Linked DNA regions of Lonchura striata. The protein of the gene in region 3 interacts with the protein of the main gene of each other region in a biochemical or structural test. Links are inferred from orthologs where the notes say so. Each region holds a gene or a part of one and is shown on either strand. Other genes may lie near its edges.

Evidence for each region.
Region 1: the proteins of MMP14 (region 3) and TIMP2 form a complex in vitro, tested with the Homo sapiens proteins (2 studies listed by BioGRID). The link is inferred for Lonchura striata from reciprocal best matches to the Homo sapiens genes MMP14 and TIMP2.
Region 2: the proteins of MMP14 (region 3) and LUM interact in a biophysical measurement, tested with the Homo sapiens proteins (2 studies listed by BioGRID and IntAct, with this or other methods). The link is inferred for Lonchura striata from reciprocal best matches to the Homo sapiens genes MMP14 and LUM.

The regions. Positions count from the first base shown.
Region 1 is NC_134621.1:11,747,951-11,756,108, reverse strand, and holds the start of TIMP2 (metalloproteinase inhibitor 2), read right to left. Parts: upstream 3,513-8,158; 5' UTR 3,324-3,512; coding exon 3,197-3,323; intron 2,972-3,196; exon of another isoform or gene 2,807-2,971; coding exon of another isoform or gene 2,794-2,806; intron 1-2,793. Other genes in the region: CANT1 (soluble calcium-activated nucleotidase 1), read right to left, coding at 6,910-7,280, 7,720-7,923. UniProt on the Homo sapiens protein: Complexes with metalloproteinases (such as collagenases) and irreversibly inactivates them by binding to their catalytic zinc cofactor. Known to act on MMP-1, MMP-2, MMP-3, MMP-7, MMP-8, MMP-9, MMP-10, MMP-13, MMP-14, MMP-15, MMP-16 and MMP-19.
Region 2 is NC_134607.1:52,799,063-52,807,534, reverse strand, and holds the start of LUM (lumican), read left to right. Parts: upstream 1-5,354; 5' UTR 5,355-5,543; intron 5,544-8,472.
Region 3 is NC_134641.1:805,026-812,536, forward strand, and holds the start of MMP14 (matrix metalloproteinase-14), read right to left. Parts: upstream 3,279-7,511; 5' UTR 3,230-3,278; coding exon 3,155-3,229; intron 1-3,154.

The DNA.
Region 1 (8,158 bases), on a different chromosome or scaffold from region 3:
TGCCCACGGACAGCAGGGGCCACTGCTAGGCTGGATGCCCAGAGAACAAAGCTCCCTTCTCCAGGGCAGCTGGCAGCAGAGGGGCTGGCTGCCAATGCCAGCACTGCCTGCTGCCTGCCTGGCACTGCCAGCCCGGGCACCTGACCTTGGTGAGGGCAGTCACTCCAGCCCTGCTTGAGGCCAGTGGAGATGGGGAGACAGCTAACCACCCTGGGAGGGATTCCTGCACCCAGCCCTGACCGGCGCAAGGGCAACAGCCACCTCCCAGGTGTTTGCTGGCATCCCAGTGCCCGCCCGCCCGCCAGCGGCCGCCGCGGCTGGCACCCCGCCCCGGCACAGTGGTGTGAGGATGCTGAGGCTGGAGGCGTGCAGGGCTGAGCAGCGCAGCCCGGCAGCGAGGAGGAAGCGAAGGCCGTGGAGACTCCCTGGTGGCCGGCAGTGCCTGCGGGGCGGCGAGAGGCAGCGCGGGCAGCAGGTCCCGCTCCCCGCCGGGCTGCGCGGGAGCCGCGGGCCGAGCGCCGCCGTGGCCGCGTGCGTCATCCCGGCCGCTGACGGGAGCTGATGGAGCCCAATCAGCGGCAGCCCCCGCCTCGGCCCACGGCCCCTCCGCGCCAGCGCTCGGCAGGGCGGCACCGGGCACGGGCACCGGGCACGGGCACCGGCACCGGCACCGGGCACCGGGCACCGGCACCGGGCACCGGCACCGGGCACCGGGCACGGGCACCGGCCCCGCCAGGCTCGGCGGGGTTTGCAGGCAGCTGCACCCCCGCGGGGACAGCTCCCACCACGGCCCTGCAAATCCCCTCCTCTGGCCGGTCCCTGCTGGCTGCTGGCAGCCCCCACACTCACCGTGCCCGTCCCGAGGAACCGAGCACAGGGACGACTGGGATCAGTGCAATCCAGCTGTCCCCAGCCCAGGCTGCACCGAGCCCCGCTCTCTCCTGGCCCCATCCTCTGCCTGCTGCCTCGCAGGGGCAAAGCCACAGCTTTGCCTAGAAGGGCTCAGCATCCCCCTCTCACACCCCACATCCCCACGCTGCTCCAGAAGAGATGGAGCAGGAGCTGGGTTTCCTGCTGTAGCACAACCGGGCAGCTGAGCATCTCCTGCAGCAAAGCAGCCCAAGAGAGCCTGGGCACAGCCCCAGTGAGGGATGGTGGATGGGGCAGCCCCAAGTCCTTGGGCCCTGCAGAAAAGCCCTGGTCATCTCATGAGCTAGGACATGCAAGCACAGGCTGGCAGGTTCTAAATCACCCGCCCCAGTGACACAACCCCAGCCCCTCTATGACCCCCAGCCCCTCAGGTGCCACCCACCCAATGCAGAGCTACATCTACCTCCCCTTGCACCACCTGGAAGTGCAGCCCTGGGCTGTGGGGCTGCTCCAGCCCCTGCATGACAGACCAAGTGCAGGGGCAGGTGCAAGGCCAGAGGGGTCACGGGGATGAGGCAGGTGCTGCCCATGCTATGGAGAGGAGATCCCAGGACCCCACACTGTGCTCAGCATGATACCCCATACTGAGGGTTGAGCATAAGCCTTGGGGCCCATTCACTTTTGGTGTACCCACCCAGCACTGCAGGACATCAGCCATCCCCACACCACCACATTTCTAGCAAGGGCCCAACCTGGACACAAGTCTGTCCAGCCACAGCAGCTGCAAAAGGTCCTAGCAGTACCAGGGGCCCAGGTTCTCCTAGGCTCCACACATCTGCTGGAATGGAACTGGCTGAGGAACATCCCAACTCCAGAGAGCATCCAGGAGGAAGATAAGCAGCAGCAAAAGGCCAGGGCACACAGGACCATCCCCTGATATGTCCCCAAGCCCAGCACTGTTTTCACTCAGGCCGACGTGAAGCTGCACAAGTGACTTGGGCTGGCAGCCAGAAGGTGCCAGCGCTGCTGGCAGCGCGCCTGGGAGGACGCTGCCTCGGCAGGACAGGCTCCGGGTGCCTGCAGGACGGGCACCTGTTGAGGGCAGCAGGGCAGCTGGAGATCAAAGCTCAGCGAGGCAGTGCCCTCCCGGGGGACGGTGCAGACAGCCAGGACCGCCGAGACAGACAGTGACTCAGCAGTTGAGTCAGGGCTGAGCCGGCACCCCACGACGGGCAGTGAGTCACGAGTGCCCCGAAAACTGATCCTGACAGGAGCGTGATGGGAAGCCACAGCCGCACTGCCCGAGCAGGCACAAGACATCCTGTGGGCTAGGGACACCAGCTCCAGCAGCAGCTACAAAAACCCAGCGCTCCATTTTGTCTCAAAACCTTCCTGTCCCCAACACGCCTTGTGGCGAGGCAGGGCACCCGAGGCAGCAGCCAAATGCTGTGGGAGTTGCCCTCACGGAGGAAAGACGCTGGGAGTGGGGTCTGGAAAGGACGCCTGTGAGGAACATCCTGGATCTGGAGCAGGGGACAGGGCAGGGCCATCCAGAGGCTGGGGCTGCCTCAGTGTTTGGGAATGTTACCTCTCCAGCTGAGCCTGGGAACGGGCCCGCGAAGGGAAGTGCTGGGAACTGGGGCCGGCCTGTTCAGTTCATATGTTAAAATTTAATAAGGGCATTATTCATAGAAAGAGGAATCCAGACCCCGGCGCTGCCAAGCCCTCCCTTTTAGCAGCATCCAAGCCGAACAAAGTGGGACGGGGGAAAGGAAATGCCTGGAAGTAAGGCACAGACAGGGGTGACCGAGCCGTGGCGGCAGCTGCCAGGGACAGGGGCTCCTCCGGGCCCCGGGCCGGTGCCGTGGCCGCACTCGGAGGGTCCCGGTCGCCCCCGGGCCCCAACCCCGCGCTGCCACGTACCTCGCTGGGTCATCAGAGTCGGGGGAGGCCGGGCCCACCCGTGTCATTCACCGGAGAGCGACCAGTGGGGACGCGGCCCCGGCGTAGCCGCGCTCCGGTCGCCCCTCGCAGCGTCGGAGGCGCCCCCGGGAGCAATGCCGGGCGCGGGAGGCCCCCCGAGACGGCGGGAGGCGGTGCGGGGTGGGACGGGCATGGCCCGCACGGAGGGACCGCGCCCGGCCGCGCATCTGCACCCGCCGACACACCCCCGGGCCGGCGGGCGCCGCGGGCGGGGGCCGGGGGGCTCTGCCCGCTCCCCGCCCGCCCCGCGCCAACTTTCCGGTCCTTCCCCCGCCGCGAAGTTGGCGCGGGCGGGGCCGGGGGGGCTCGGGGGGCTCGGGGCGGGGTTCCCCGCGGCGCTCACCTACGTCGGCGTTGCAGAAGGCCTGTTGCGGGTGGATGGGCGAGCAGCTGCAGGCGTCGGCCGGGCGGGCCCTGCCGAGCAGCAACACCGCCAGCCAGGCCAGCAGGCTGGGCAGCGCGGCGGGCATGGTGCGGGGCTGCGGGCGCGGCCACCCGGCCCCGATCCCGCACCCACCGCCGGGCCCGGCCGAGCCGCCGCCGGGAACTTGGGTCCGGCCGGGGCGGGCGCTCTGCGGCCGCCGCTCCGTTGCCTTCCCGGAGCCGTTCGCTTCCTCCCCGCCGCGCTCGGCCTCCCTCTTTAACGTGCTCCGGGGATCTGCTGCTCCTCCTCCGCGTGGCGCGGGGCCAGCCCGGCTGCGCCCGCCCTCCGCGGGATGCGGCTTCGCCGCTACCGCTGCTCCCGCCCCGGCACGGCCCCCGCCGCGGGCACCGGCCGCCCCCGCCCCGGCGCATCCCGCCAGCCCCCGGCTCCATCGCTCCTGGACCCGCCGCCCCGGACCCCCGCCCGTAGTAGAGCAGTGTCCGACCAACTGACGGTCGGACAGGCATCAGTTCTGGCTGTGCACGAGAATTCCTCCCCACCTTCGGCCCCTCCACCCTAGCTTATCCCACACCCGAGTTCCCCTGCCTGCTTCCACTGGGGGTCCTGTGCCACAGCGACCTGCCCCAGGCCTCGGGCCTCTCTCCATGGCAGCAGCTCCTGCCCTGGAGCACAGCTCCAAAAACCCACCTTGTCTCTATCCTGGATGCATGATGGGGTTTAACCCCAGCGGGCAGCTCAGCCCCCAGCTGCTTTTGGTTCGTTCTTCCCAGCGGGGTAGTGAGAGAACTGGGAAGGGGAAAGTGAGAAAACTGCTGGCTGAGATAAAAGTGAAGCAAAAGCCACACATAAGCAAAGCAAAGCAGGGAATTCTTTCACCCCTCCCCAGGGCAGGCAGGTGCTGAGCCATCCCCAGGGCAGCTGGGCTCCAGCATGTGATGGTGATTTGGGAAGACAAACACCACCACTCCAAATGTCCCCCTTTCCCTCCTTCTTCCCCCAGCTTTATATGCCAAGTATGATTCCATACAGTGTGGAATAGCCTTTGGGTCAGCTCTTCTGTGTCCCCTCTCGACTCTTTGTGCCCCCCACCGGCCCCTCACTGCTGGGATGAAGAGCAGAACAAGGCCTCAAGCTGTGAAAATGCTGCTCAGCAGTAATGAAAACATTGCTGTTATCAACCCTGTTCCAAACACAAATCCAAAACACTGTCCTACACCATATTACACATCTAATATGGAAAAACGGACTACCCCAGTCCAAACCCACTCACTGTGTCACTGTGGAGGTGTCAGGATGCTGCTGCTGTCACTGTACTCTGTGCCTGGCTGGCTGCTGAGAGTGCTCCATCTCACCAGCACTGCCTTTGTCCTAGAGGAGCAGGCAGGGACACAAGCATTCAAGCACAGCTAGGCAAGGGCATATGTTGGCAGGACAGACACCACCATGGCCACAAAATATGCTCCTGAGCCAGCCTCTTGCCACAGCACTGCCATGCCATGCAGTAGAGGGAGATAATAGAGGTGCTCAGCCTCTAGGATGAGAAGAAACAGCAGAACAGGGCAGCTGGACCTGACCCAAACCCTGCCTGAGCCTGCAGGGAACACATGGGAGCTGACAGCACTCACAGTGCTGGGATGCTGGATGACACCTGGAGATGGGGACCCAGGTTGCCAACTCCTCTGTGGGGCTCATGGTCTGCAGAGGTCCTAGCAGCAGCAGGACTCCTGCTGGCTCAGCTGCCTGAGGCATTGGTGCTGCTGCTCTGAGGGTAGTGCAGTGCTCCGGGCAGGGGCCCGGGGGACAAGAAGGGACCAAGTAGCAGGGACAGCCACTGGCACAGCCCTGGGATCACAGCAGGTGCTGTGGAGCTGTTGGTGCTGCTGAGGAGGGTGAGTGAGGCCAGGAGAGACTGCCAAGCCAAGTGCCAGTGACGCTTGAGTGGCATCATGGACTGTGGCCAGCTGGCGCCCAGTGTGAGCTGCAAATGCATCCTGGGTGCTCTGGGCCAGGTGCTCCACGATCCCCAGGCCATGTGCAGGGGCCAAAGCCAGGCCTGTCTGCAGCACTGGGGACAGGTCCTGTCTAGAGACAAGTGCAGCCCAGCACTGGCCGAGTCATCGTCTGGGCTAAATGAAAACACATGTCTGGCTTGCACGGCTCACAGAGGTGCTGACACTGTAAACAGGGCTGGGGGGAACAGCCTGGCTGGGTTCTTGGGAGGGCCCCAACCACTCTGCGGATTCCTCCACCCAACCACAGCCTGACTGCTGCACCGACAGCCCCTCTCCCTCCCTGTGCATGGCTGGACCCCACAGCAGAGCAGTGCCCGGGCATGGCAGAGCGATACAGGGGGCACAAGGGCCCCCCAAACCATAGTGGCCAGCTCTCTGAAGCCCTACTTGCTGGCAGACCTGCCCTAGGGGCAGTGTTAAAAAGAAACAAAGTGGGGACACAACAGAGCCAAACACTGGTCCTGGTGTGAGGATATGCTGCCCTGTGACCTGGGGCAGGGCAGACCTGAGCCAGGTCAGTGTGGGCAGGCCAGGAGCCACAGCCTCCTTGGTCAGAGGGGTCAGAAGGGTCCTGGGGCTAGCAGATGCCCCTTTGACACTTGTGGCTTCTGAAACAACACAAGTTCCTCCTGGGGGCCACAGGCTACGGCAGCAATTTCACAACATGCTGGCGAGCATGGGGAGGGCTCCCTGGCCAAAGCCCTGGGCTGCTGCGAGTGCTTCTCAGCTGCTGCCAGCTCTGGCAAGCAGAACTGCAGCTCCTGCCTCTGCTCCTGCATCGAGCACAGCAGCCCTTGGACAGCATGGCTGCACTGTCGCCAGCTCCCAGCAGTTCCTGCCCAGGGCTCAGCTCTTCCCAGAGCTGACAGTTCCGGGGCGGGAAGCATTTCTGGGGCTGGAGCCACGTGCAGCCAGGCCTCGGAGAAGACAGCCAGCACGCACACACACCTCTTGAGGGTGTGGTCTGGGAATGGCGCCAGGGTGGGCCCACTTTACATCATCCCCTGCCCCTTAGGCACAGCCACAGTGGTGAGGGAACTGCTGCCTCCTCCGTGGTCACAGGAGCAAAGGGACACAGACAATACCCCCTCCCATGCAGGACTTTTCTCTGAAACAGGCCACCCGCCACCCCAGCCATCACCTCATCCAGCTTATGGGAAAAGGGAAGGAAATCCAGCTTCTGAAGTAAAAGCCTGATGAAATCCCCACAATCTGACCTGCTCAGGCTGCACATCCCCCTCCACCCAGGGAGCCCCATGGCACACAAGGCACAGCTGTAGAGTTGGGGCTCAGCTGCAATCCCAGAACAGGGACGTCACCAGAGCCACCGACCCACTGCAGATGGCTCTGTCGCAATTCAGGGCAGGGCACTAAGGGCTGCAGTGGGGCCTGTCTAGGCACCAGCACTCCAGGACCTGACACTGTCTCGGGGCCGGGAGCACCCTGTGGTGGCGGTCCATTGCCACCAGGTGCCACTGCCGAAACACTTGCACCACACCTGCTGCAGCTCAGTCAACACTTTACAGGAGAGCCCAGGGCCAAGGACACAGCTGGGAGCACTGCCTGACATCCCTCATGGACCCCGGGCTAGAAGCAGGCTTGCAGGGCCTGCCCATGTCCCTAAGCTGCCCGCATGCCTCCACTCGCTGCAGATGTCTGTTAAATAAACTCAATGCCCTCGTACTTCACGCTCCCAATCCTGGTCTCAGGCAGGAGGAAGCGCCCATCCAGTGTGAAGGCCATGATGTAGCTGGAGATCTTGCCATTGTCCTCTTCAGATTTTAGTGCCACGATGATCTGGTCGTCCGTGTCCGGGATGAACTTGAAGGAGGAGAAGCCATGGGTGGGAACCACATCGCCCACGCGCCCCACTGTCACATCCCCGAAATCCTGGGTGGAGCTGAGCAGCAGGTTGGTGCCTCGCTGCTCGTCCGCCTTCTCGCTGTAGCGCTCGTGGCTGGCGCGGCGCGGCAGGAAGAACCAGCGCTGCAACGTGTCACTCCAGGAGGCCGACTCGTGGATCAGGTACCCTGCGGCAGGAAGCGGAGTCTGACCACACAGACCACAGGGGCACAGCCACGCCAGGATGGGACCCTCCCCCTCCTCTCCTCCTTCCCTTCCAAAACACCCCACAGCCCCGCACAGGTATCCCCTATGAACTTTTTTGCCTGCTCCTGCCCCACTGCCTGGCAGCAGCTCCCCAGTTCCTCCCAGAGTCAGGCAGGGCCACACAGCACATCCCAGTCTGCCTGGGAGCCCAGCTGCCAGGCCCAATGACAACTGAGCCACCCTTCAGATACTCCTGGCACAGGCAGCAGAGGAAAACGACCACGACAAGGTGAGATCTCTGGCCTCTGGCAGCCTCTAAATCTCACCCAGTGCCAGCATCCCTGGGAAGGGTGACTGTATGGCTCTGGAGCCATCAAGAGTGTGGGATATTGGGTGGCAGGAGGTTGCCCTACTCCATACCTGGGGGCCGGATCCCCGCTGCAGCCCTCAGTGTGTTGTAGTTTGTCACCCAGTTCTCGTGGCTCACATCACCCTTGTAGCCAATGACCTTCACCCACTGGGGGTTCTCATTCACCACTTCCCCTGTGGTGGTGGTCCACTCCTTGCCCAGTCCTCCTACATACAGGTGCTCATCCTTCACTGCCAGCCACTCTGCCTTGAAGCCTGTGGTGGAAAGAATGGCATGAGGTGGCTCAGTCAGCACGTAACCATCAGACTGTCCCACATGCCTCAAACCCCACACCCCTGAGCCCAGTGCCGGGCACAGTGTCCCCCACATAGCCAGCTGGTTGCTTGGCAGGAAATGCCCTCTCTTGGCCAGGCTCAGAGGTCACAGGAAAGGTGTGCCCCACCCCAGCAGGTGAAAAGAGCCAAGGGCTTCACAGGGCAGAATGGGAGC
Region 2 (8,472 bases), on a different chromosome or scaffold from region 3:
GAAAGGTTCAAATTAAATAATAGTATCCCTGTACATGAATATGACAGAAGATAGTTGGAAGATGCAGATTTTCTAGAGGAAAATAAATTCTAGTAATGTTATCTATAATAGTACATCATTTACTACTACTGTACATATATATAGTAGATATATCTGTCTTTACTACACCTAAAGAGACACAAGCCAATGGTTAGCAATGGAGTATGAATAAAAATAATCATTGTTTGCTGCATTTGGAAAGATCTGTTTGTTCAGACTGATGTATTTTTATTATATCATGTTCTTTCTAAAGAAAAAAAAAAAACAAAAATATTTGATAATGAGAAATACTTTTAGATTTGGCTGTCATAATAGTTTGTACTTAAACATCTCAGGAAGACATTTAATAATAGTTTAGTTCATTTACAGTCCATTTTTATGGACCTGGGAATACCAGAACACTGATGTGGTGTTACTGTTCATGGATTTTAAATAGGTAAGTGCTGTCTCTTCATCAAGGTTCTTAATCTGCCACCAGTCCTAGGGAAAATAATGTAAAAATCTCACACAGCATTCAGGAGGTAATGAACTAAGTGACAGCTAAGACAGCTAATTTCAAAATAAATACTAATAGGTAGCCAATGATTGCCATGGATTTGTCCAAGGTGCTTCATTTTAGAAATGACAGTGGGAAGTATTTTTAAAAGCTGCATATTAAGTGGCTCCCAAACTGTCCCACTGTCATGGCAAAGACGAATTATGACTTAGGGGATCTGTTTAACTCCAAGGTCACATAAACTAGCAGAAGGACGAATGCTATATTATTGTTGTACAGCAGAATCCAGATGTTTTAACATCTCTTCTGACCTTAAGCTGTAGTGATCTGAATGCAAACTGACATTGATAATGCTTAGATTCTGGGAAGGTGTTTAGCATCCAATGATTTTCAAATGAAGTGTATGTTAATACAACATTAGCATATACAAATAATAGGTGGTAAACTAAGTTGACCAAGTCCAACTTTTCCATTCATTATCTGTACTGTTTACAATACAGAAATACAGACATGTTGCTAAAATTTTTACTTGTAACCACAATGTACCCACAAATTCAACAGCTCCTTGAGATACTCTTAGATTCTTTACATTAGGAATCATTTGAATTGTCTCATGCTCCAAGGCCACCTAATTTTCTATTATACATGGATCAGCAGATTTTAAATGTTATGATAAAACCTACAGGATATATTAAGAAGTCTGGTTTAAAAACAGACTCTTGCCCTCATGTTTAGTCCTCATCAAAAAGAAAAGTTTTGATCAAACTTTGGATCAGCTCAAAGAAATTTTGCTGTTGACTATTTGAATCAAATCAAAAACAGTCTGAAAAGCAACAGAGAGGAGAATAACACTACTAGAATATAGACACTATCGGCTTTGAAGCAAAACAGTCTTTCAGAAGGACAAAAACAAGGATTTGTGCTAACTAAAATATCTGTTGCGGTCTGCTAATAGGTTGTAACACTGTTACCATTTTTGTAAGTTTCCGTAGCTGGTATTTCCTTTTTAGGAGAAAGGAAAAGAAGGATTTGGATCACCACAAATTTTGTAATGCTTATAGTATGTGCTCTAACACTTTCCATTCAACATGTAAGTCCAGTGTAGAGGCTGAAAAAAAAAAAATTCAATTAGGATGAAGAATGGAAGTTTTCAGATGAAAAAAATAAGCACCTACAACCTTCAGAACCTGGAATTAAATTGTTTTTAGTAGAACACATTAAATATGAGTCAGTCTTCAGTAATATTTTCAAAATGCTCCAGAGTTTTACAGAAATACTTAACTAATTGTTCCTGGAGATATGTGCCAATGTCATATTTTTGTTTATTCACCATATGTAGGCTAACAGGCTGTATAATTAGAGGCATAGAAAACATCATATATAAACATTATGTTGCCTCTTTAAGTGACTTGCTGCATGGTGTCCATGGAACAGCCTTTTCCCTTAATGGAGGTTTCTTAACCCCTGCTGTGGGCAGCCAAATAAAATGAGCTAACCTTCATTTAATCTTGAGAGTAATATTTAATTTAAATTCTGAGTGATCAGAGGAAAACCACCATTGTTAATTTCATGTGGCAGTGTGAAAAGTTCCACAAGGAATTTTTCTGGAGCTTTATCTTCCCATGTCAATAATACCTTAGTCCTGCTACTGGGTACCCAATTCTCTTGGTTCTGTGTTCCAGATGTGTGCACAGGTTTAAGGTGAAAATAAAACATCAGTTGGTTTAGATAGTATCTATTAAGCTTTGGTAACCTAAGTCTTTTGGGGAAAAGGGTATTAAATCCAAATTGATTGTGAGGCACTTCCATTTATGCAGAAGTGCAAAGAAGCTATAAAGAAGGCATTTTTGCAAGAGAGAAAAAGAAGAGAGGGTATCACTGATGAGTGTAGAAACAAAATGATGACACTGTAACTTGACAATATTTGACAGCTAGATCTCAGCCAGTGCAAATTTACTTGCAGTGAGCCCTGCTTTCAGATTCTTTCATTACAACCCATTAGACTTGGCGCATCTCCAGCCATGAAAATATGAATTAAAAAAAAAAAAAAAAAATCACAAAGGAGCTTTGTATTACATAAAAGAAATATTTCTATTCATAATCACAAGTCAAAGAAAATTAGATTATAATAGCTTTTGATCATATTTCCCATCGGAGAAAGATGAATAATTAAGGTACAAAAGAAAACAAATTTTGAAGAAAAACTGCAACACAGTAGTTGTAAAGATGAAATATTAATATGTCCTGACATCATCAGGATGAAGCATATTCATAACCAGTTTACAACTTCGATGACACAGGTGAATTTATATATTATTTTGTGTATTCCTTGGAAATTAGCTAGACTTCATTCACATGCTGTTTAATGACTTCTGAGAGCTACAAAAAGAACTACTGCACAGAATACAAAATAGGACCAGAAACAAAGAAATCACCCAACCACAGTCCCACCCTCTGTTGCAGAAGAAGCAATACCTTTATTTGCTGGGTTGTAGTACCTACCTGCTCTCCCAAACAGGTTTATGAGGTGATAGCTCCATGAGTTAGAACAGTAAGATTTGGAAAAGCATAAAAATTATGCCAAAGGGCAGTATTAAATACAGATTGGAGAGACAATAAAAATCTTATTAAAAGGGAAAGAAAATCTATTGTTTTTTATCTTAACCTCAGAAGGTATGTGATTCTTCATCTTGACTGTGCAATTTCCATAGTTAATTTAAAACAGTCAGCAAGACAGGAACTATATGAATGAACAAGTCTCAGCTGAACTTTATGTGACCCAAGCTTTTACTATGTTAATTTCAAAATATGCTTGCTTAATAAGTTTTGTAAGCTAAAAAGATATGCATGTTTTGTATTTCTGTTATCAGAGTGTGAAAAAGGATGTATACTTGATATACAGAAAAACTGGTTCATAAATACAACTGTGCCAAAAGCATATTAAGCCTGGATTATCTTGTACTTGCAGACAATGTTCAATTCTATTTGTACTGCAAATGCAAAACTATAGTTATTACTGAGGGATCAAAATATACATTAATTTATCATAATATTTGGCTTTTCCTTCTAAACAAATCTATAGTCAGAGAAAGCACAATTAATGTCTTTCCTGTGATTTTTAAATTCTCTTTACAAATACTATGCTCCATTGCTCACCTTGTTATGTATTCTTCCATAGAGCAAATATTGATATTACCTTAAAGGTTATCTCTTTCTGCATGAAAAATATTTTTTTATTCCAACTGATCTCTTGCTAAGTGTTGCTTGTTGCTACATTTGCTGTCAAGTCACAGTTGAGGTTTCCTTGGTCAACTAAAGCTAATGAAGTAGTTTTCAGATAAATATCATTCTGTGTATGAGAAACCCCATCTGGTCTCCATTTGTCTACATGCAGAACAACAGGAGCTTTGTCCACTTCTACATTTCGAGTCCTAATACCATGCAGTTTTTCACTTAGATTAATTCACTATTGTAATCCCACTGCTTCACATTCACTTTTTGGCACCAATCAAGCAGTAATGCAGTAACAATCTGTCACCAGCGTGTTTCCCAGAGTGTAAATGGTTCTCTAACACCAGGGAACTTCAAAAGCATAACATTGCACTGTGTTGAGCAAATTGTTTGCTAATTGGGGCATTGCAGAAGCACAGAGGTCTTTAAGTGTTTGTTCTCTTTCCTGTTATTGGTGAAGGACACTGGCTTTTCCCTGCTCCCAGTAGCCTTCACTGCTCTGGAGACTGAGACACATCAGCAGCAAATTTTGGGAGAAGCTCATATTCAGGCTTCTCTTCAGCAAACTGATAGGGTTCTCCAGCCCAGACACATTCTGTACTACCATTTTTCATAAAGATAATAAGTTGAAAATGGACAAAATCTCTGACTTTCTACCCCAGAAATTACAGTCAAATGCAATTAAACACACAAGACACTTTAAAATGGCTTGTGAATGCTTTCTATATGCACATTTGACATTTGTCCCTACCCAAATCTATAAAAAAAATTATGTTTCTCATAAAAAGGAAGACATCCTCCATTTAGAGATAAGGGAAAGTTCTTATGGAAGCATTAAGTTCCACTTTAAACTGTTATTTTATGAATATATTATTTTTCTACATAGCCTGGTGAAAGTAACATCTCATCCAAGCATTAAGATGCATTCTTGAACTACATCCATGGAATAAGAAACAGACAACATAAAGCTGAGTAGTTCCAGATACTGAGAAGCAGGAGAAAACTGTAAGTGCAAAATGAACAAATGTATGGAGTGAATTTACAGTAACTGCTCAAAACCCATTCCTGGGATGTATCTTTATTAAACAAACACACATTCAACCACCAAAGAAAATCTCCAGACCAAATCAATTTCACCGATTTGTAGAAGAATCTTTGAACTCAGTATGTAATGTGGAAAAGGGTATGATTCAAAGATAATTTTGAATCTGATCCTTAGGCTAAAGTTTTCATTAAGGATATTTTACTGTGGTCATAAGACAGTTAAAGAAAAAGGCAGAAAATGAATGAGTCACTTGGCTGAAGAAGAACAGCAGCATTGAGGTCTGAGTGCTATGTGTTAGCTCATGTCTAGCAGTATAAAATAAGTTGGAAAACAAAAGCCTGTTTGCAATTTATTTTACAAAATAACACGTTTTCTCTCTAAAATAAAAAAAAAAATCTTGTATAAACCTATGGCTTTTTAACTTTCTCAGGTTTGTGAAACATCATTCTCTGATCCCACAGGAGAAACTGATGGGTTGTCCTTGCACAAAATATGGTATCCACCTGCAGTTCATTAGAGAGCTGCATTTTTGTACATGCCACACCACAAGATCACCATGATGACATAGCAGCTTCAGAGAACAGCGTGACTAGGGCTTTTTTTTTCCCTCTTGTAACACAGAGGATCTGGCAGACTTTTACCTCCTGACACTGTTTAGAGCATATATTGGTCGATACAGCCTCTTATTGCATCTGCTCTGGGAATTAAGGAAAGCAGCTACAAGGCAGTAAGGTAAGTGCTGCTGCATGCTTTAACCGTAATGTTCAGCTGTTTAAATGTAGCTGCAATGGGAACATGAAAACATGACAGGATAAGTTTGCCAATTTGTAAATTGAGCACAAATCAACAGTTTCACTGTCGATTCACTTTCTTAGTTTCCTTAAAACAGCTTCACATATTTTGTACATCAGTGTTGCAGTTTTTTACAGTCTGTTTTGTTCTACATCAGAATAAGATTTGACATACAGTACAAAGAAGTTTGTAAGAGTACTCAGTGTTTATTTTTCCATTCATAATAGTGAGAGCTTCATAAACCCCATTTGCTAAATCATTTTGCTTCATTCTAGAAAAAGACAACGTATCCTGATATTTAAATAATTAATCACATAAACAATGAGAGGGAAACACTAGGTATTTTTTAAATTTCTAATCAGTTTTAAAGCATATTTTAAATACACCAGTGAAACTTTAAAAAAATACAGTCTTTTGCAAACTGTATAAGAAGTTAAAATACAGAATTAAAGTTGATTGACTCTTAATTTTATATTTATTTTGTTTTACAATAACTTAATGATTAAGGAAATATAGACAAGATCAAACATAGTTTGAATAGGATTTCTACATTAATGTAGCAAATATTTTCCCAAAATCATGGATTTACCATATAATATGTTCTGGCAAGTTGCCTGAGCAACTTCACAAATATTTTCACAGTTATTTTGCAACACAACTCTTTAGAACAGGCACAGGCAATTAATTAAAACATGTTTATGTTGTAAGATAAACATCAAAGAATGTATTCTGATTTTATAGTTTGGATTTATGTAGTTCAGTGCAACAAACACGCATGATCTATTAACCTTTTACACTTCTGACAGTGAGACATTCAGATACCTGAATGAGAAATGCATTAATATAACAAGTTAAATAAATTTCCTATTTACTTTGCAATTTTATATCACACAGATGCCCATATGCCCTTTAACTACAGAATTGTCACATAAATTCTAAAATCTTTTGATAAATTTACTCAAAACACTTGCTATCAAACATTTTTAGTTACTTCTAGGGTTCTGCAGAGCAGTAAAACTTTATACTCTAAAGGACAGTAAGACTATGATAACAATAATGAAACTTAGCATTACAGATATTATTTTAAACTAGAAGAAAAATAGAATTTTAATTTAAAATGTCTATGTTATTTTAAAACTATAAAATTAAGGAGTTGTGTAAAAAATGTCACTATAAGGCCAAAGAATGTAGTCCAAGGAGTTCATTACCCTCTTTTTATACTTTGAATACAGAATTACTTGATTTCTTTTCTTTAGTGTTTAGTACCTAAACAGGACTGGATTTTGAGATGAATTGTCTTACTTCAGTCTTTGCTTTCAGATGAGCTGTACTTATTTATACCAGCAGGGGTCTAAAGGTTGAGCTCATATTTATGTTGTATGTTCTCACGCAGTAATGAAAAACAGGCAAAGAAAATTACACTGACAACTAATATTTTGATGATTATCCTAGGGTTTGTAATTAGGTAAATGTGATGGGACCAACACCATGGAGATGATATGCAATCAGATTCCTTTTTCAGGGAACAGCAGCTTAATATCTAGCAGTAGGACTTTATGGGTTATTCAGTGGAGGTAACATTAAAACATTTTTTAAAAAGACTTTGTACTGTACTGCATGAGATCAATAGGCCCTGCCTAGAGATGCTTTAAATGAGATTGTTATCTCACTAGAATATGATGTGGCTTTTAAGAAGCCAATAGAAGCAAAGACATTTAGAATTATAGAAAATTTTGTAGCTATGGCCCTGCACTTTCTCTGTGTAACAATTCCAATAGCAAGACTAACTTACTCTGCTGGAAGACTGCCCAGATCTGAGATCAATGTCTTGTGCTCTGTTTACAGGCTTCACATACTTTCTGAAATTCCTTGAGAAAAAAAAGGTTTTAAGGATTTTCTTAATCCTCTCATTCTCTGAACAGTAGTTGAGTACTTGTAGCCTTGTCTTTTACTACTGAAAATCAAAGTAAGCTCCCTGACCTTATTGATTCTAGACCTACTTTTCCAGGAGAACATATATCTAGCCAGTAAGAAGTATAAACAAGACACAAGTCTTCACAGATTAATTGGCATCTTGTGGAGTGCCTGATGAGAAAGCTGTGGCCTTTAAGTGTCAAGTCACCTCACAAAGGACACCGAATGTCCTTTTGCTGTATGTGAACTGAAAAACAAATAATGTAAAGCCAGTGTTTCATTGTTCAATTAATTTACAATGGGCATAAAATGTAACCAACACCTTTGATGTATAGAGAATTTGCAAGAACATTTTCACTATCTGAAATTCAGTAATTTCAAGTCCACTGTCAGATTCAGTCATTTCAGATCCACTGCACACATATGTAATACTAGTTGGCTGGCATGTTAGAGATAATATACTTTACAGTCCTATTCATTTGTTCTTTAGGTGACTATGAAATTTGTGGACCATGCTTTACAGACCATAATCCATGAGAAAAAGAGTTTTCAAGCCACACACATCTTAACAACACACAATGCATGAGAGCATTACCCTCAGTTTTAATTTCCCTGTCTCTTTCAAACTTAAATAGCCACATGTTTAGAAATGAGACAATTCAGCACATTAGGAATGTTTGGTAGAATTTAAATGGTGGCACTGTCTCTGAAAGTGGCCTTCAGCAAAACTGAAAACTTCTGTGGCAAGTTTAAAAACCCTGTACTTCATCATCTGTATTGTAACTTAATCAATGAATGCATAAAAATATAAAAAAGTTTTACTTACAACAGCAAAATGGCCAAAAAATTTGCATTGCAAAGGAAGATTATACACCACAGGGACAGTAACATAGTATTAACAATGTAATGCTAACAACTCAATTTTGTTTTCTTAACTAAAAACTTTAAATAGAAC
Region 3 (7,511 bases):
TCCCAAAAAATCGGGAAATATTTTGGGGGGATTTTCCCTGATTTTTATTTTTTCCCAATGTTTTTTGGGGGGGATTTTCCTGATTTTTGGGAGGATTTTTCCGGGTGAATTTTGGGGCAATTTTGGGCCTTTTAGGTCAAATTTTGGGGCTCCCGAGTGAAATTTTGGGGCATTTTTGGGCAATTTTGGAGTTTCTGGATGAAATTTTGGGGCTCCCGGGGGAATTTTGGGCATTTTTGGGGCAATTTTTGGCAATTTTGGACATTTTTGGGCAATTTTGGGCAATTTTTGGGCAATTTTGGGGTTCCCAGGAAAATTTTGGGGCATTTTTGAGCAATTTGGGGCATTTTTGGGCAATTTTTGGGCAATTTTGGGGATCTCGAGTGAATTTTGGGGTCCCGGGTGAATTTTGGGCAATTTTGGGGCATTTTTGGGCAATTTTGGGCAATTTTGGGCAATTTTGGGGACCTCGGGTGAATTTTGGGCCATTTTGGGACATTTTTGGGCAATTTTGGAGTTTCTGGATGAAATTTTGGGGTCCCGGGGAAATTTTGGGGCCATTTTTGGGCAATTTTGGGCAATTTTGGGGATCTTTGATGAATTTTGGGGTCCCGGGTGAATTTTGGGCAATTTTGGGGCATTTTTGAGCAATTTGGGGCAATTTTGGGCAATTTTGGGGATCCTGGGTGGATTTTGGGCATTTTTGGGCAATTTTGGGGATCTCGGGTGAATTTTGGGTGAATTTTGGGGCATTTTTGGGCAATTTGGGGCAATTTTGGGCAATTTTGGGGATCGTGGGTGAATTTTGGGCAATTTTTGGGCAATTTTGGGCAATTTTTGGGAAATTTTGGGAAATTTTGGGGCATTTCTGGGGATCCCGGGTGAATTTTGGGGTCCCAGGTCAATTTTGGGGCATTTTTGGGCAATTTGGGGCATTTTGGGCAATTTTGGGGCTCCCGGGTGAATTTTGGGCAATTTTGGGGCAATTTTGGGCAATTTTGGAGTTTCTGGATGAAATTTTGGGGTCCCGGGGGAATTTTGGGCCATTTTGGGGCAATTTTGAGCAATTTTTGGGCAAATTTGGGGCATTTCTGGGGATCCCGGGTGAATTTTGGGGTCCCGGGTGAATTTTGGGGCATTTTGGGGCATTTTTGGGGCTCCCGAATCCAATTCCGGGTCCCTCCCCCTCCCCCCCCCCCCCCCCCCGGCGTCATTTTCGGCTTTTTTGGGAATTTTTTTGGGGATAATTCTGGAAATTTTGGGCAATTTTGGGCGTGGCCGCCCCTCCCCCCCTCCCCTTCCCAAAATTTTTTAATTTTTGGGAAATTTTGGGGGAAGAAGCGGAAAATGGGGAGGGGGGGGAGGGGCGGCGGTGGCCACGTCTCGCCCCTCCCCCCCCCCGCGCGGATTTTTGGGATTTTTGGGGATTTTTTTGGGGGAAAAAACGGAAGTTTCGGCGCCTTCCCCCCAAAAAAACCCAAACCCCAAAAAAACCAAACCCAAAAAAACCCAAAAAACCCAAAAAAACCCAAAAAAAAGGGTGGGGGAGGGGCGAGAGGGAGACGTGGCGGGGGGGGGAGGGGCGGGCAAGGAAAAAGCCCCAAAATTTGGGGATTTTAACCCAAAATTTGGGGATTTTAACCCAAAATTTGGGGATTTTAACCCAAAATTTGGGGTTCTGAGCCGAAATTTGGGGATTTTACCCCAAAATTTGGGGGTCCCGATGAGAAATTTGGGGGTTCAGGGGGGAAATTTGGGGATTTTGACCCAAAATTTGGGGGTTTTTACCCAAAATTTGGGGATTTTAGCCCAAAATTTGGGGATCTTTGACCCAAAATTGGGGATTTCGACCCGAAATTTGGGGATTTCGACCCAAAATTTGGGGATTTTGACCAAAATTTGCGGATTTTTACCCAAAATTTGGGGGTCCCGAGCCGAAATTTGGAGTTTCCATCCCCAAAAAGTCGCGGAAATTTGGGGTGAAATCTCCGGATTTTGGGATTTTTGGGGGTAAAAATTCCAAATTTTGGGCAAAAAACGGAATTATTTGGGGTTTTTGGGGTGAAATCACCGGATTTTGGGTTTTTTGGGGTGAAAATTCTGGATTTTGGGTTTTTTGGGGTAAAACCAAAATAATTTGGGGTTTTTTTGGGGTGAAATCACAGGATTTTGGGTTTTTTTAGGTAAAACCGCCGGATTTTGGAAATTTTTGGGTTAAAATCGTGGGATTTTGGAATTTTTTGGGGTAAAATCACCGGATTTGGGGATTTTTTGGGTATAACCTTGGAATTTTGGGGTAAAACCGCCGGATTTTGGGGGTTTTTTTTGGGTTAAAATCGCCGGATTTTGGGTTAAACCCGCCGGATTTTGGTTTTTTTTTGGTTTAAAATCACCGGATTTTCGGGGGTTTTTTTGGGTTAAAATCGCCGGATTTGGGGATTTTTGGGTTAAAATCACCGGATTTTCGGTGGTTTTGGGGTTAAAATAGCGGAATTTTGGGTTTTTTTGGGTTAAAACCGCGGATTTGGTTTTTTTTGGGTTAAAACCGCCGGATTTTGGGGGTTTTTGGGTTAAAAGCACCGAATTTTGGGGATTTTTGGGTTAAAACCGCCGGATTTTTGGGATTTTTGGGTTAAAAACACCGAATTTTGGGGATTTTGGGGTTAAAATCGCTGGATTTGGGGATTTTTTTCGGGGGCAAAACCGCCGGATTTTGGAGTTTTTTTGGGTTAAAATCGCCGGATTTTGGAGTTTCTTGGGGTAACCCGCCGGAATTTGGGGTAAAATCCCTCGATTTTGGGTTTTTTTGGGGGTAAAAGCACCGGATTTTTGGGTTTTTTGGGGTAAAAACACCGGATTTTCGGTGTTTTTTGGGGTAAAAACACCGGATTTTCGGTGTTTTTTGGGATAAAATCACCGGATTTTCGGTGTTTTTTGGGGTAAAATCACCGGATTTTCGGTGTTTTTTGGGGTAAAATCACCGGATTTTTGGGGTTTTTTGGGGATAAAATCACCGGATTTTGGGTTTTTTTGGGGTAAAATCACCGGATTTTCGGTGTTTTTTGGGGTAAAATCACCGGATTTTTGGGGTTTTTTGGGGTAAAATCACCGGATTTTGGGTTTTTTTGGGGGGGTCCCGGGGGGGGGGTCTCACCTCGGGCGAGAAGCGGGGCTGGGGGTCGGCGGGGGGGGGGAGGACCCCCCAAAAAATCAGGAGCGCCAGGAGCATCTCCGGGAGCGGCGCTGCGATTGGGGAGGGGGAAAAAAAAGGGAAAAAAAAAAAAATCCCAAAAAAAAAAAAAAAAATCGGGGGTGGGGGGAGGGGCTTGGGGTGGGGGAGGGGCCAGCAGGGAAAAAAAAAAACCAAAAAAAACCCGATTTTTGGGTTTTTTTTGGGGTTTTTTTGGGGGGTTTTTGGGGTTTTTTTTTGGGAAAAAGGTGAGCGCCCCCTGGCGGGCGGGAGGAGCAAAGGGGCGCCCCCAAATTTTTTGGGGTTTTTTTTTTTGGGGTTTTTTTTTTTTTTGGGGGGGGTGGGGGAGGGGCAGGATGTGGTCAGCCCCTCCCCCACCCCCCCCCCCACCGGGGTCAGCTGACTGGCGGTGACGTCATCGCGGGGGGGGTGGGGGGGGCGGAGGAGTTTTTTTATTTTTTGGGGAATTTTTGGAAGGGGGAGGGGAGTGGTTTCGGATGGGGTTTTTTTTGGGAATTTTGGGTTTGTTTTTTTTTTTTTGGGATGGATTTTGGCGGGAATCCTGGATGAATTTTTTGGGAATTTGGGGCAGTTTTTTTTGTTTTTTTTTTTTGGGGGGGGGGGGGGGGGCTCCCGGCAGAATTTTGGGGAATGCTTTTGGGGGGAGATTTTTGGGAATTTCCAGGCCCCTCCCGGAGTTGTTTTTAGGGTTCCTTTGTGCCGCTAATTAAGAGCTGGGGGCGTGGCCGCGCTAATTAAAGCCAGGAATGGGCGGGGCTCGTTGCCCTTTTAAGACGGCGTTGCCCTTTTAAGGCGCCATTGCCCTTTTAAGAAGCCGTTGCCCCTTTAAGAAGCCGTTGCCCCTTTAAGAAGTCGTTGCCCTTTTAAGAAGCCGTTGCCCCTTTAAGAAGCCGTTGCCCCTTTAAGAAGCCATTGCCCTTTTAAGAAGACGTTGCCCCTTTAAGAAGCCGTTGCCCTTTTAAGAAGACGTTGCCCCTTTAAGTGGGCGTTGCCCCTTTAAGAAGCCGTTGCCCCTTTAAGAAGCCGTTGCCCTTTTAAGAAGCCGTTGCCCCTTTAAGAAGCCGTTGCCCCTTTAAGAAGCCGTTGCCCCTTTAAGAAGCCGTTGCCCTTTTAAGAAGACGTTGCCCCTTTAAGAGGGCGTTGCCCCTTTAAGGCCGAGCCTGGTGGGCCCCACCTTAAAGGTTTAAAGGCTCCGCCCCCTCCCAGTTTGGTCCCAGTCCATTCCAGTTCATCCCAGTTCATCCCAGTCCATCCCAGTCCCCTCCCAGTCCATCCCAGTTCATCCCAGTCCATCCCAGTCCCCTCCCAGTCCATCCCAGTCCATCCCAGTCCATTCCAGTTCATCCCAGTCCATCCCAGTCCCCTCCCAGTCCATCCCAGTTCATCCCAGTCCATCCCAGTCCATCCCAGTCCATCCCAGTCCATCCCAGTCCATCCCAGTCCTCCCCTCCCTGTACTGGTTTGTACTGGGAACCTTTGAGGCCCAGGGAGTTACTGGGATGAACTGGGAGTCGCTGGTTTGAACTGGGAAGGCACTGGGGCATACTGGGAGTTACTGGGAGGGTACTGGGATAAACTGGGATGAACTGGGAGGGCACTGGGCCATACTGGGAGTTACTGGGAGGGCACTGGGATAAACTGGGATGAACTGGGAGGGCACTGGTTTGAACTGGGAGGGCACTGGGCCATACTGGGAGTTACTGGGAGGGCACTGGGATAAACTGGGATGAACTGGGAGGGCACTGGGATAAACTGGGAGTCACTGGGCCGGCTTTGCCCCGCCTCTCGCTTCCCATTGGTCGACGTCTCTCATTTCCGCGCTCCTATTGGTCATCCCCGCTGTCACTCACCCATCAACCCCGCTTCCCCGCTGTTTCCCGCCCCGCGCTCCCATTGGCTCGCTGTTTCCCGCCCCGCGCTCCCATTGGCTCGCTGTTTCCCGCCCCGCGCTCCCATTGGCTGGCGCGGCGCGGGGGGCGTGTCCAGGCGCGGCTCGGCGGGAAGCCCGTAAGGGGAAGCGGCGGGGGGGGGGCGGAAATTTGGGGCAAAATTGGGCAAAAACGGGGCCGGGGAGGCCGGGGAGGAGCCGGGAAAGGCTCGCGAGGGCTCCCGGGAGGAATTTTGGGGTGGTTTAGGGCCAATCCCTGCGGTTCCGGGGCTTTTCTGAGCCAAAAACGGGAGGTGAGGGGGGACGCCGCGGACCCTGAGGGGATTGGGGGATCTTGAGGGGATTTTGGGGATCCTGAGGGGATTTGGGGGATTTTGAGGGGATTTGGGGGATCCCTGAGGGGGATTTGGGGGATCCCTGAGGGGATTTGGGGGATTTTGAGGGAATTTGGGGTGTTCTGAGGGGATTTGGGGTGTCCTGAGGGGATTTGGGGGATCCTGAGGGGATTTTGGGGATTTTGAGGGAATTTGGGGGATCCTGAGGGGATTTGGGGGATCCCTGAGGGAATTTGGGGGATCCTGAGGGGAATTTGGGGGATTTTGAGGGAATTTGGGGGATCCCTGAGGGGATTTGGGGATCTTGAGGGGATTTGGGGGATTTTGAGGGGATTTTGGGGGATCCTGAGGGGATTTTGGGGATTTTGAGGGGATTTTGGGGATTTTAAGGGGATTTTGGGGATCCCTGAGGGGATTTTGGGGATCCCTGAGGGGATTTGGGGATCCTGAGGGGGATTTGGGGGATCCTGAGGGGATTTGGGGGATTTTGAGGGGATTTGGGGGATCCTGAGAGGATTTGGGGGATCTTGAGGGGATTTGGGGGATTTTAAGGGGATTTGGGGGATTTTGAGGGGATTTGGGGGATCCTGAGAGGATTTGGGGGATTTTGAGGGGATTTTGGGGATTTTGAGGGGATTTTGGGGATTTTAAGGGGATTTTGGGGGATCCCTGAGGGGATTTTGGGGATTTTAAGGGGATTTTGGGGGATTTTGAGGGGATTTGGGGGATTTTGAGAGGATTTGGGGGATCCTGAGGGGATTTGGGGGATTTTGAGGGGATTTGGGGGATCCTGAGGGGATTTGGGGGATCCCTGAGGGAATTTGGGGATTTTGAGGGGATTTTGGGGATTTTAAGGGGATTTGGGGGATCCCTGAGGGAATTTGGGGGATCCCTGAGGGGATTTTGGGGATCCCTGAGGGAATTTGGGGGATTTTGAGGGGATTTGGGGGATCCTGAGGGGATTTGGGGGATCCTGAGGGGGATTTGGGGGATTTTGAGAGGATTTGGGGGATCCTGAGGGGATTTGGGGGATTTTGAGGGGATTTGGGGGATCCTGAGGGAATTTTGGGGATCCTGAGGGGGATTTTGGGGATCCTGAGGGATATTTGGGTGATCCTGAGGGAATTTGGGGTCCTTGATTGAATTTTGGGGTTCCCTAATTACATTTTGTGGTCCCTGATTAAAATTTGGGGGATCCCTGAGTGAATTTTGGGTGTCCCTAATTAAATTTTGTGGTCCCTGATTAAAATTTGGGGGATCCCTGAGTGAATTTTGGGGTTCCCTAATTAAATTTTGGGGTTCCCTGATTAAAATTTGGGGGATCCCTGAGTGAATTTTGGGGTTCCCTAATTAAATTTTGTGGTCCCTGATTAAAATTTGGGGGATCCCTGAGTGAATTTTGGGGTTCCCTAATTAAATTTTGGGTGTCCCTGATTAAAATTTGGGGGATCCCTGAGTGAATTTTGGGGTTCCCTAATTAAATTTTGGGTGTCCCTAATTAAACCTTGGGTGTCCCTAATTAAAATTTGGGTGTCCCTAATTAAAGTTTGGGTGTCCCTAATTAAATATTGGGTGAAGTTTGGGGTTCCCTGATTAAACTTTGGGCTCCCTAATTAAATTTTGGGTGTCCCCAATTAACTTTTGGGCTTCCTAATTAAATGTTGGGTTCCCTGATTGAATTTTAGGAATTTATAATTAAACTTTGTGCTCTCTAATTAAATATTGGGTGTCCCTAATTAAATTGTGGACTCCCTAATTGAATTTTGGGTTAATTTTGGGGTTCCCTGATAAAACTTTGGGTGTCCTTAATTAAACTTTGGGTGTCCCTAATTAAACTTCCTGTGTCCCTAATTAAATGTTGGGTTCTCTAGTTAAAATTTAAAATTTAAAATATAAATTTAATTTATTTTCATTTAATTTAACTTAAATTTAAATTTTCAAATTTTGGGGTTCCCTAATAAAACATTGGGTGTCCCTAATTAAAGTTTGGGTGTCCCTAATTAACTTTTGGGCTCCCTAATTAAACTTTGGGTTGCCTGATTGAAATTTTAGGAATTTATAATTAAACTTTGGATGT